2 linked regions of the Arabidopsis thaliana genome follow. The protein of the gene in region 1 interacts with the protein of each later gene in a pairwise test. Each region holds a gene or a part of one and is shown in the gene's direction. Other genes may lie near its edges. The genes, in order: AT5G04840 and RIP1.

The links.
Region 2: the proteins of AT5G04840 (region 1) and RIP1 interact in a two-hybrid assay, tested with the Arabidopsis thaliana proteins (one large-scale study listed by BioGRID).

Annotation. Positions count from the first base shown.
Region 1 is NC_003076.8:1,403,299-1,408,462, forward strand, and holds AT5G04840 (bZIP protein), read left to right. Parts: upstream 1-1,882; 5' UTR 1,883-2,203; intron 2,204-2,693; 5' UTR 2,694-2,706; coding exon 2,707-3,242; intron 3,243-3,647; coding exon 3,648-3,723; intron 3,724-3,943; coding exon 3,944-4,070; coding exon of another isoform or gene 4,071-4,078; exon of another isoform or gene 4,079-4,165; coding exon 4,166-4,350; 3' UTR 4,351-4,664; downstream 4,665-5,164. Other genes in the region: AT5G04830 (Nuclear transport factor 2 (NTF2) family protein), read right to left, coding at 279-373; VPS60.2 (SNF7 family protein), read right to left, coding at 4,948-5,001.
Region 2 is NC_003074.8:5,048,090-5,053,120, forward strand, and holds RIP1 (cobalt ion binding protein), read left to right. Parts: upstream 1-2,105; 5' UTR 2,106-2,231; coding exon 2,232-2,620; intron 2,621-2,791; coding exon 2,792-2,889; intron 2,890-2,973; coding exon 2,974-3,039; intron 3,040-3,397; coding exon 3,398-4,032; 3' UTR 4,033-4,366; downstream 4,367-5,031. Other genes in the region: DJ1A (Class I glutamine amidotransferase-like superfamily protein), read left to right, coding at 21-170, 265-450, 542-622, 789-989, 1,105-1,245, 1,335-1,532; AT3G15010 (RNA-binding (RRM/RBD/RNP motifs) family protein), read left to right, coding at 4,755-5,031. UniProt on the Arabidopsis thaliana protein: Involved in organellar RNA editing. Required for the processing of numerous RNA editing sites in mitochondria and plastids. Binds to the plastid RARE1 factor, a pentatricopeptide repeat-containing protein involved in RNA editing.

The DNA of each region.
Region 1 (5,164 bases):
CACACAATTGACACCAATTTCGTCAATCACTGCGGATGGATTCACCATGATCTACGGTTAGGCAAATAACCAAAACCAAATCGAAAGAAACCAAAATGAACAAAACATATTCCAAAAAACTGAACCAGATTGAATCTAAACCTATTTGTCCTAGATAAAGCAGTATCTAAACCGGACCTAAATCGGACAGAACAAACCAAGTGGATAATCAATAAGGCCACAGTACTAAATTTCACGAAGAACCTCAATTTTTAGAAAAATCAAACAAGAAGGCTCACAAGTTGAGAAGATGAGGCATGATTTTATCAGCAAATCGCTTGTTCGATTTCAATTCGCAAGCTCCTTTGCCTTCGCATTCCCGCGCTGGATCCATCGCTGTTTCATTTTCACATCACCAGAAAATCGAAGAAGAAGATGAAGAGCCTCTCTCATCCACAAACCAACAATAATCAGATCGTACAAGGAAACGAACCTGAATTCGGATTCTGGTGTTGCTTCTCCACGGATGTTGTAAAGATTTTCCTGAGAAAATATCGAAAGAGACGATTGAGAGATGAACAACAATAGAAACTAAAATTGAAGCGAGGGAAGGAGTGATCTTTGTTAATAGAGATGAAACTGGATCGTGGTGGATTAGCTTCCACGTGACACAATCTTCTCCATACGTAACCGTTGATTATTCCAACGGAGAAAATGTGCCTTTATTTTTCCTAGTCCCTTTTAATTATTAGTATGAGTGAAAAATATTACAAAGTTGAAAATGTGATTCGTGCTATTTAATTTATGTATCACAAAAATTTAAAGCAAAGATGAGGAATAATTAGATTTCAGATCTTCAAACAAAATATACGGTAGGTGACTATTCTTTTTCCGAACCATTTTAGTTACCTTCATTTTGAAGCTTAAAATTTTTGTTTGACTTTGACATGTATTTTTGTCTTAACATTCCAATGCTAATCATTAGTACCATTACTCTGTTAATATATACTCCCTCTTTTGTTTATTAATCTAAATTCTTGAATGGAAAAAATGTTGCAAAAGATATAATTTTGAAGTCTTCTATGTATTTTTAAGTAGTTATTAATGATGAATTGTAGATTTCAAAAATAAATAACTACAAAATTATTGGTTTAAAGTTGTAAAAAATTATTAATCACAAAAGGAATAAATTTATAATCTATTTTTAATAGGTGTAACAAAACTTAAAATTTGGAATAATAACGAACAGAAAGAATAATGTTTTTTTCATTATTTCATGCTATAATAATAATTTAATACTACAAATGAGAATACAAAAAATCTCAACTTTGCGTAAACGACACAAAGTACTAATAAATATTATAACACTAAACGTTTGGAGAAGCAGAACAGCTGTTTTTCTCTATTTATTATTATTTGGTTCTCTGATAACAGCTGTTTTATTGGTCAACTCTATTTGGTTAAACTTAAATCTTTGACCCGAAACAAAAAAAAAAAAAGGCCAAAACGAGGCCCTTGATTGAATTAAAAATCTCTTGGTTAACAACTATTTAAAGATACATCGCCACTTTGGTAATCAATACGCAAAACGTTACTAACAAATATGTGTTAAGCGAAGTTAGTTAGATCATTACTTTTTAACTATTCAACATTTTGATGACCCCAAATATATAAATTCCACCACTTCTTCTCCACCATCACAAATCACATTTTAAAAAGACACTTAAAAGACTCACTTCTTTACAATAAATTCTTCCCGAACGTTCTAGACTAATAAATGTAAATGCCACAATCAGATCAAATATCTTAATCAATGTGACAACACAAATATAAACAATTTTTTTTAAAAATTTTATAACAAAAAAGTACGGATGGAGATGGGTCAGTGAACCCTTTGCTTGACCAAATAATAAAAAAAAAAAAAACTCAAAGGGCCCAAAAGAGCCGTCCGTACGCCTCCTCCTCCAGCCAATTGGGGCTTTCAAATACACAATTCAATTCTGCGTTATACATTTATACGCAGCTGTGAGAAAGAGAGAGAGATAAAGCAAGCAACAGAATAAATTCTTCTCCTTTTCTTTTTTGTTGCAACTAGTGAAAGAGAAAGAGACGATCGCTTATTTTCTTCTTCTCCTACACTCTGCGTTTTTGCTCTCTTTTTACTCCGCATTGCTCCTCCGTTACTATCTTCGCCGGCGAAAATTTGTTTTCTTTTTCCCTGGAGGTAAACAAGCAACTGACGATTGACAAGTTGAATGCTTTGGTCTGTTTGATGTTTATGTATCTCATTATTCGAGTCAAAAGCACTGTAGATTTCAGGGTTCTCTTCTCTTTAATGTCTCTGCTGAAATTTCCAGTTTTTTCATTGCCGTTTCTTAAAATCTTGTAATGGGTTTTAGGGTAACTGTTCCATTGATTCAATGTTGTTCTTCTTCTTGTGATTTTTGTTTTTCTTTCACTCTTTTGTCTTGTGGGGTTAGTACAAGAATGGTTGTCGGAATTTCACAAATTTGTTTTACTAAAAAAATACTTTTTTCTTTCTTTCTGGGATTGAGGTTTGTGTTTGCTAGCTGAGAATAAAAATCAATCTTTAAGAGCTGTAGAATTGAATATCTGGAAGCTTTCATTGCGTAGAAGCTATAGCTTCTTAAGGTTGATGATAAGTGAAGTTTACTTTTAGCTAAGAAAGCTTTTTTGGATTGTTGATTTATTAGGTAAATTCGAATCATGTCAAGGCCTGCTCCGCTTCCACCTCGTTGCCCGATTCCAAAGAAACTTTCTTTGAGTCCAGTTGCAGATACATTCTACTCTTCTTCCTCACCCATTGAATCATACATTGGTCAATACAAGTCTTCTACTCAAGATTCCAGGCTCGAAGATCAACCTGCTTGGCTTGATGAGTTGCTCTGTGACAAAACTGATGGGTTGCTCACTAGAGGAGGTCCTCTGCGCCGCTCAGCTAGCGACTCAGTTGTGCTTTTGGGAGACATTTCTGCTACTTTTTCTGGTTTTGATCAAAGTGAGGATGAAGAAAGTTTGAGTTCTGAAGCTTGTGGGGACTTGGAGTCTGCTTGTGTATATGGTCCCAACTCGCCAAGAGCAAAGAACAACTCTAGCTTCTCTAACAACCCTATTGCTTCTGCCTTTTCGGATTATGGTTCTCAGACACCGCCTCAGAACTTGGATGATACGGTGAAAGGGATCAACCGTTCACCTGTTGCTGAAAATGCGTGTGGTTCAATGGGCATACCAAATGCAAAAAGGTGAGAGAACATTAATCTTCTTAAGACATTATTATTTAACATCATTACTTTATTTGTGTAGAAATTGATAAGCTTTGGTCCCTTAAGAGTAGTATTCTTTATCGGCTAATGTTGCTAATATTAATTCGGCTGCATCAAGTCTAGTCCATAAGCTCCTATGTGGTACCTCTGTGTCTATTCTAGATCAAGATACATCGGTTTCTGGTTTGTCAGTGAGAAGGAAGAAAAGAATAGTTCCATATCTCTGTTTTACACTTGGATTTGTAGTTGGTGGGGATTCTTATGACTACTAAATTGGCAGAAATATGTGTCTGTGTCCACAAGAGTGCTCTTAGAATGCCAATTCGGTACTTTTACATTATCTTGTTGTGTCATATGTTGATTTTTCTATCTTTACTCTGCCAGGAACCCGGGACAGCGTTCAAGGGTTCGTAAGCTCCAGTACATTGCTGAACTTGAGAGAACAGTAGGCATGTTGCAGGTAGAGATTCCATTCAAGCTGTGCGCTTTCTTAAAACACAATCGTTATTTTTTCTGTGGACAGTTATATGTACAAAATGCAATGTTGTATGTTAGATCTCTGTGGTAAGATGATCTAGTTGTTGGTGTTACTACATAGTTAGATGCAGAGCAGTAAAACATTATACAGAAACCTAGCACATTGTTTTTGGTAGTAACCAAATAGCAATCTCGTTTTGCAGACGGTGGAAGCAGATTTATCAGTGAGAGTGGCTTCACTTCTTCAGACACGAGCAACACTGTCCCTGGAGAATAGCCAGTTGAAGCAGCAGATGGCGATACTAAAGCAGGACAAGCTCATAAGGGAAGGTAAATAAAAACATGACATAAACCACACATTCAAGGAGTCTGAATTACAGCTTGTGATCGATCCACTGATGCTTGTTCCGAAATATTTTCTGTAGGTGAGTATCAGTTACTGAAGAAGGAAGCTCAGAGATTGAAATCTGGATTGGGATACTTAGGGAGCACTAACAACAGTAACAGGCTGGTGAGGTCATATTCTGCTGGTTCAAATGTAGCTCCAAGGACAGCTTCGTCCCACTTGGACTGGAATTTGCTAGATCTGACCAAACTCAATCTCAACTAAAGACAAAACCCTCCATAAGAATAAGTAGCTTAAGGAATTCAAGAGTTAACAGTTCTATGTTCGGAAAATGAACAAATCTTTGTCGATTTGTATAAATATGATTTAGGAGTATAAAGTATCCCACTGTCTTGGGATGTAGTCTTTTTTAGCTAAAATGCTCTGATATTGGAGACATTTTAAGGGTTCCTATTTTGTAGCTCATTGAGTAATTGTGGTGGCTTTGACTGAGAGTATTCTTCTATTTCTGGTGTTCTAAAAAGCTATTAATTTGATGAACGTTGGGATCTAATATCACTAAAATGTATGCATTTGAGTATTACTATAACAAATAATTTGGGCTTCATGTTTCATGTTCAACTTCTCAAGAAACTCAAAAACTTCACTTCTCAGCAACATATCTTACACATCATTTAGAATGCGATGCTGTAGACTCCCGATTAGATTTCCTTATAAAATAATATAATACAGACCAAATCTGAGGATTCAAGGTTAATGAAACTGCTAAGCAAAAAACTTATTACATACAGTAACAAGACTTTAAAAGCATAGTCGCTGGAGATGAATATTTATGCACACAAAGAGGTGTGTAAATGGGATTTAGCCCCGAAGTGATGCACGTGGTACCGCTGGTAATCCCCATTCATCTTCAGCCTGTTCATCATTACACCATCATAAAAATCTCTCAGCAGACATATAAAATAAGTTCCAAGTCCAGAGTGTGTAATATTCGGTAGTTATTGAGTAAGAAAAATATGCAAAAAGCCATCATCACTCATTTAGTAATCAAGCAATTTGTGTGAATAAAGACTAGACC
Region 2 (5,031 bases), on another chromosome or scaffold:
TTTGATATGATTGGGAAAAGGGAGGGCTTCCCGGTGGCGAGACTCTTAAAAACTGTAAATCTTTAGAGAACATGGTCAAGAAACAAGACTCTGATGGCCGACTTAACGCAGCTATATGTTGTGCTCCTGCCTTGGCTCTTGGTACTTGGGGTCTACTAGAAGGCAAGAAAGTAAGTCAGAAGTGATCAGTATATTTCCAAGGGCGTTTATTTATCTTTTTTTCAGGCCTTGTAATGTCTTGTTATTACATGGGGTTTCTTGCAGGCAACGGGTTACCCTGTTTTTATGGAGAAACTTGCGGCTACTTGTGCAACTGCTGTTGAGTCAAGAGTGCAAATTGATGGAAGAATAGTGACCAGTCGTGGACCAGGAACCACCATTGAATTCTCCATCACGCTTATAGAGCAGTTGTTTGGGAAAGAAAAAGCTGATGAAGTCTCCAGTATCTTGGTATGTTTTGTCTCTGCCTCTTTTATCAACCGCTGTGGTACGTGTTCATGTCACCTCCTCGTAGACTTACTTGTTATCCTTTTGAAATCAGCTGCTTCGTCCTAACCCTGGTGAGGAGTTTACTTTTACTGAGCTTAACCAAACAAACTGGTCATTTGAAGATACACCACAGGTAAATGTTCAGTTGCCTCTCCACTTGGCCCTTTTAACATTTTTCCAAGACAGGCTTTGTTTGATCCGTTATACAGATTCCTAGGAACATGCTGTGTTGTAAAGCTTTTGTCTTTCTTGATCAATAGTCTTTTATGAGTCAGAGAGATAATGTTTTCCCTTTTCAGATTCTCGTACCCATTGCAGAGGAGTCAGAGGAAATTGAAGCTATAGCGCTTGTAGATATCCTGAGGCGGGCAAAAGCAAATGTAGTGATTGCTGCAGTTGGTAACAGTTTGGAAGTTGAAGGATCTCGCAAAGCTAAGCTAGTAGCAGAAGTTCTTCTTGATGAGGTTGCAGAGAAGTCGTTTGATCTGATTGTGTTACCTGTGAGTATTGCTAACTTCCAAAATGTGAATATACTATTTAGTCTTAAATTAAATTTTAATATTCTATGATGACAAATAACCAAAAACATAATCCAACTTCTTTGATGAACTACAGGGCGGTCTTAACGGTGCTCAAAGATTCGCAAGCTGCGAGAAGCTAGTTAATATGTTAAGGAAACAGGCAGAAGCAAACAAACCATATGGAGGAATCTGCGCATCGCCTGCTTACGTCTTCGAGCCTAATGGTTTACTCAAGGTGCATAAATCAAACAGTACTAGAATTGTAGTTTCTTGTTCTATCTTTTAAGTCATTAAACTGAGATATAAGAGACATGTTTTGTATAGGGTAAGAAGGCTACTACTCACCCAGTGGTGAGCGACAAACTTTCGGACAAGAGTCACATTGAGCACAGAGTCGTGGTAGATGGAAATGTCATAACAAGCAGAGCTCCAGGGACTGCAATGGAGTTTTCACTTGCCATTGTCGAAAAGTTTTACGGGCGAGAGAAAGCTCTTCAGCTCGGAAAGGCAACACTTGTGTGATTTCAAACAATGAAAGTATGAGAGTGGCTTGAATAAAAAGAAGGCTTTGCCTTTTAGTTATCTCTCTCCATTAGTAATTACTTACTTTATGATATATGACATATGAGCTTGGCTTAGTGATTGGTGTGTAACTTTATGCCTTTATAAATGAATAAACGAGATTTTTCTATGTATGTTGCCGATATTTTCTTTAAACCTCTGCAAGAGCTAGAGGGTGTGCTGGAGAAAAAAATTATTTTATGGAGAAAGATATTTTAGTCACACATTTTCACCAAATTGACCTTACAATAACTCTAAAATACGAATTTGCCCCTATGTTTAGCTTTGGAATATTTCATATTTGTAAACCATTTAATAATATGATTATTACCAATTTAGTGAAAATAAAATCTTCAGTCTTCTCTTCTTGTATAAAAATAGCTTTTTTATCATTTGAAAACAGAGTAATGTCACTAATTTCTTGGCGAAAATGTGTTTATTTGTAACTTAAGGTAAAATAGGGGCAATTTTGTTGAATCTGATAAGATCAGGGGGTAGTACCGTAGATTTCGCTGTCCAGTTCAGTTATGAAATACCTAAAATGCCCTCGACTCATAATCTACTATTAAACCCTCATAAAACCCTTGATTTCATTTCTAGCTCATCTGTTTTCACACTCTCTCCTAGGGTTTTATCTGCGAAGCCCAATCTAGAGCTTCCATGGCGACGCATACCATTTCTCGATCCATTCTTTGCCGACCGGCGAAATCTCTTTCGTTTCTGTTCACGCGATCCTTTGCTTCATCTGCTCCTCTCGCCAAATCTCCGGCGTCTTCTCTGCTCAGCCGGTCCCGTCCTCTGGTCGCCGCTTTTTCCTCCGTTTTCCGTGGCGGCCTTGTGTCTGTCAAAGGTCTCTCGACGCAGGCTACATCGTCTTCTCTGAACGACCCGAATCCCAACTGGTCGAACAGGCCACCTAAGGAGACGATCCTGCTCGATGGTTGCGATTTCGAGCACTGGCTTGTCGTCGTGGAGCCACCTCAGGGTGAGCCTACTAGAGATGAAATCATTGATAGCTACATCAAAACCCTAGCTCAGATTGTTGGCAGGTAAATCCCCAATTCAAAACTCTCTCTCTCTCTCTCTCTCTCTGTGTATGTTCTTCTAGGGATTTTAGGTTAAATAAGTGAGAAATCCACTACTGTGTATGACGGATCTGTGTGTTTACTTAGATCATTTTTGGAGCTGTAACATGATATATCTCGTTTTGGACATTTCAGTGAAGACGAAGCTAGGATGAAGATCTACTCGGTTTCAACTAGGTGCTACTATGCTTTTGGGGCACTTGTGTCAGAAGATCTTTCTCACAAGTTAAAAGGTTAACTCTTGCCTTTGTTGGGTTTTAGTTTTCCTCATTTCTGTGTTATAATCTGCCTTCTAACTTTCTTCTGTAACTCTCCAGAGTTGTCAAATGTGCGCTGGGTTCTTCCTGACTCTTACCTGGATGTGAGGAACAAAGACTATGGAGGTAGGCTTAAGTGTATTATCTGTATCATAACCTGGGTTTGAAATTGGGGTAGTTGCTTTGCTCGTCCATTATACTTTTGCTGGGTTTGAAATTTTCAAGGGAAACTACCTGTTGCTAGTCTTCGCTCTGTGGACTCGTTACTTGCTCCATGCTTTTGTGTTAGATTGACACATGGGGCGACTTCTATTTATAGTTAATTAACATTGTGGGTGCATCTGTTAGATTTGATTTAGTGATATCTATTGTGAGACTGGTGTTGTAGAAGTCGCAGTGATGTTGCTTTGGTGAGAGTTTAAATCTTTCTGGTGATCCTATTAGAGAGTTAGTTTGATGCGTTTTTGTATATATTGACTTTCAGGGGAACCTTTCATCGATGGGAAGGCTGTTCCTTATGATCCTAAGTACCACGAGGAGTGGATAAGGAACAATGCTAGAGCAAATGAAAGGAACAGACGCAATGACCGTCCTCGCAACAATGATAGAAGCAGAAACTTTGAGAGGAGAAGAGAGAACATGGCAGGAGGCCCTCCTCCTCAACGTCCTCCCATGGGAGGCCCTCCTCCTCCTCCGCACATCGGTGGCTCTGCACCTCCTCCGCCTCATATGGGTGGCTCTGCACCTCCTCCACCTCACATGGGGCAGAACTATGGACCACCACCACCAAACAACATGGGAGGACCAAGGCATCCACCACCTTATGGAGCACCACCGCAAAACAACATGGGAGGACCGAGGCCACCTCAGAACTATGGAGGAACACCACCTCCCAACTATGGAGGAGCACCACCAGCAAACAACATGGGAGGAGCACCACCACCAAACTATGGAGGAGGACCACCACCTCAATATGGAGCAGTACCACCACCTCAATACGGAGGAGCACCCCCACAGAACAACAACTACCAGCAGCAGGGTAGTGGAATGCAGCAGCCACAGTACCAGAACAACTACCCACCTAACCGGGATGGCAGTGGCAACCCCTACCAGGGTTAAAGCAGTTGAAGCAGTCGTGGGTTTCCTTTTTAATCATGCATTCTGGGCTGTGTATAGATAATTTGAGGAAGAGAGAGTGCAGTAGCAAGACTTTAAAACTCCTTTTATCTCGAGTGTTTATCAGTCTGGGATTATGTGAGAGAGAATAGCCTAAGTTACTGTGGCATGGTTAGAACTTTTCACTCTTGCGTTTCTTTTTAGTAGTTTATATCCTAAATCGATCTCAAGTTCTTCCTTGTGATGCTTGCTACTCTTATGTCCACTCCTGGTTCTGCATTAAACGGGATTTAGTAACATGTCTCCCACAGGCTATTGTTTTGTGTCTTTCTTTGGCTTCTTCCTAGTCTTAATTTCTAATTCCCCAATCATGTTTACATGGGAATGGGATACTCATATTATAACAGGAAGAATGACAAATGTCATCAATATCATATTTCTTTCGACAAACTTGACAGAACACACAATTTGATGATGAGAGAGAGAAGCGGGTGTGAAGTAACAAGATGGGCTTTGTGTTCTTTATCCCGGCCCATCATTCTAAATTTCAGCCCAAAATGGAAAATCTCGTAACCGTATAAAGCCCTCGCTTCCCTCATATGTTTTTCCGCCGTCACATATTTTCCCCTCTTTTTTTTCGTGTCAGATTCGCTTTCTCTACGGCTGGACTAGAAGGATTAGGGATTTACCGGTGAAAGAATAACTCCAGAGATAAATCTGTAACCATGGATATGATGAAGAAGCGTAAGCTCGATGAGAACGGTAACGGACTCAATACCAACGGTGGCGGAACCATTGGTCCAACTCGATTGTCGCCGCAAGACGCGAGGAAGATTATCGAGCGATTCACCACTGATCAGCTGCTCGACTTATTGCAAGAGGCTATCGTACGCCATCCCGACGTGCTTGAATCTGTCCGATTAACCGCCGACTCTGATATCTCGCAGCGGAAGCTATTCATCCGTGGTCTCGCGGCGGATACTACTACGGAAGGTCTCCGTT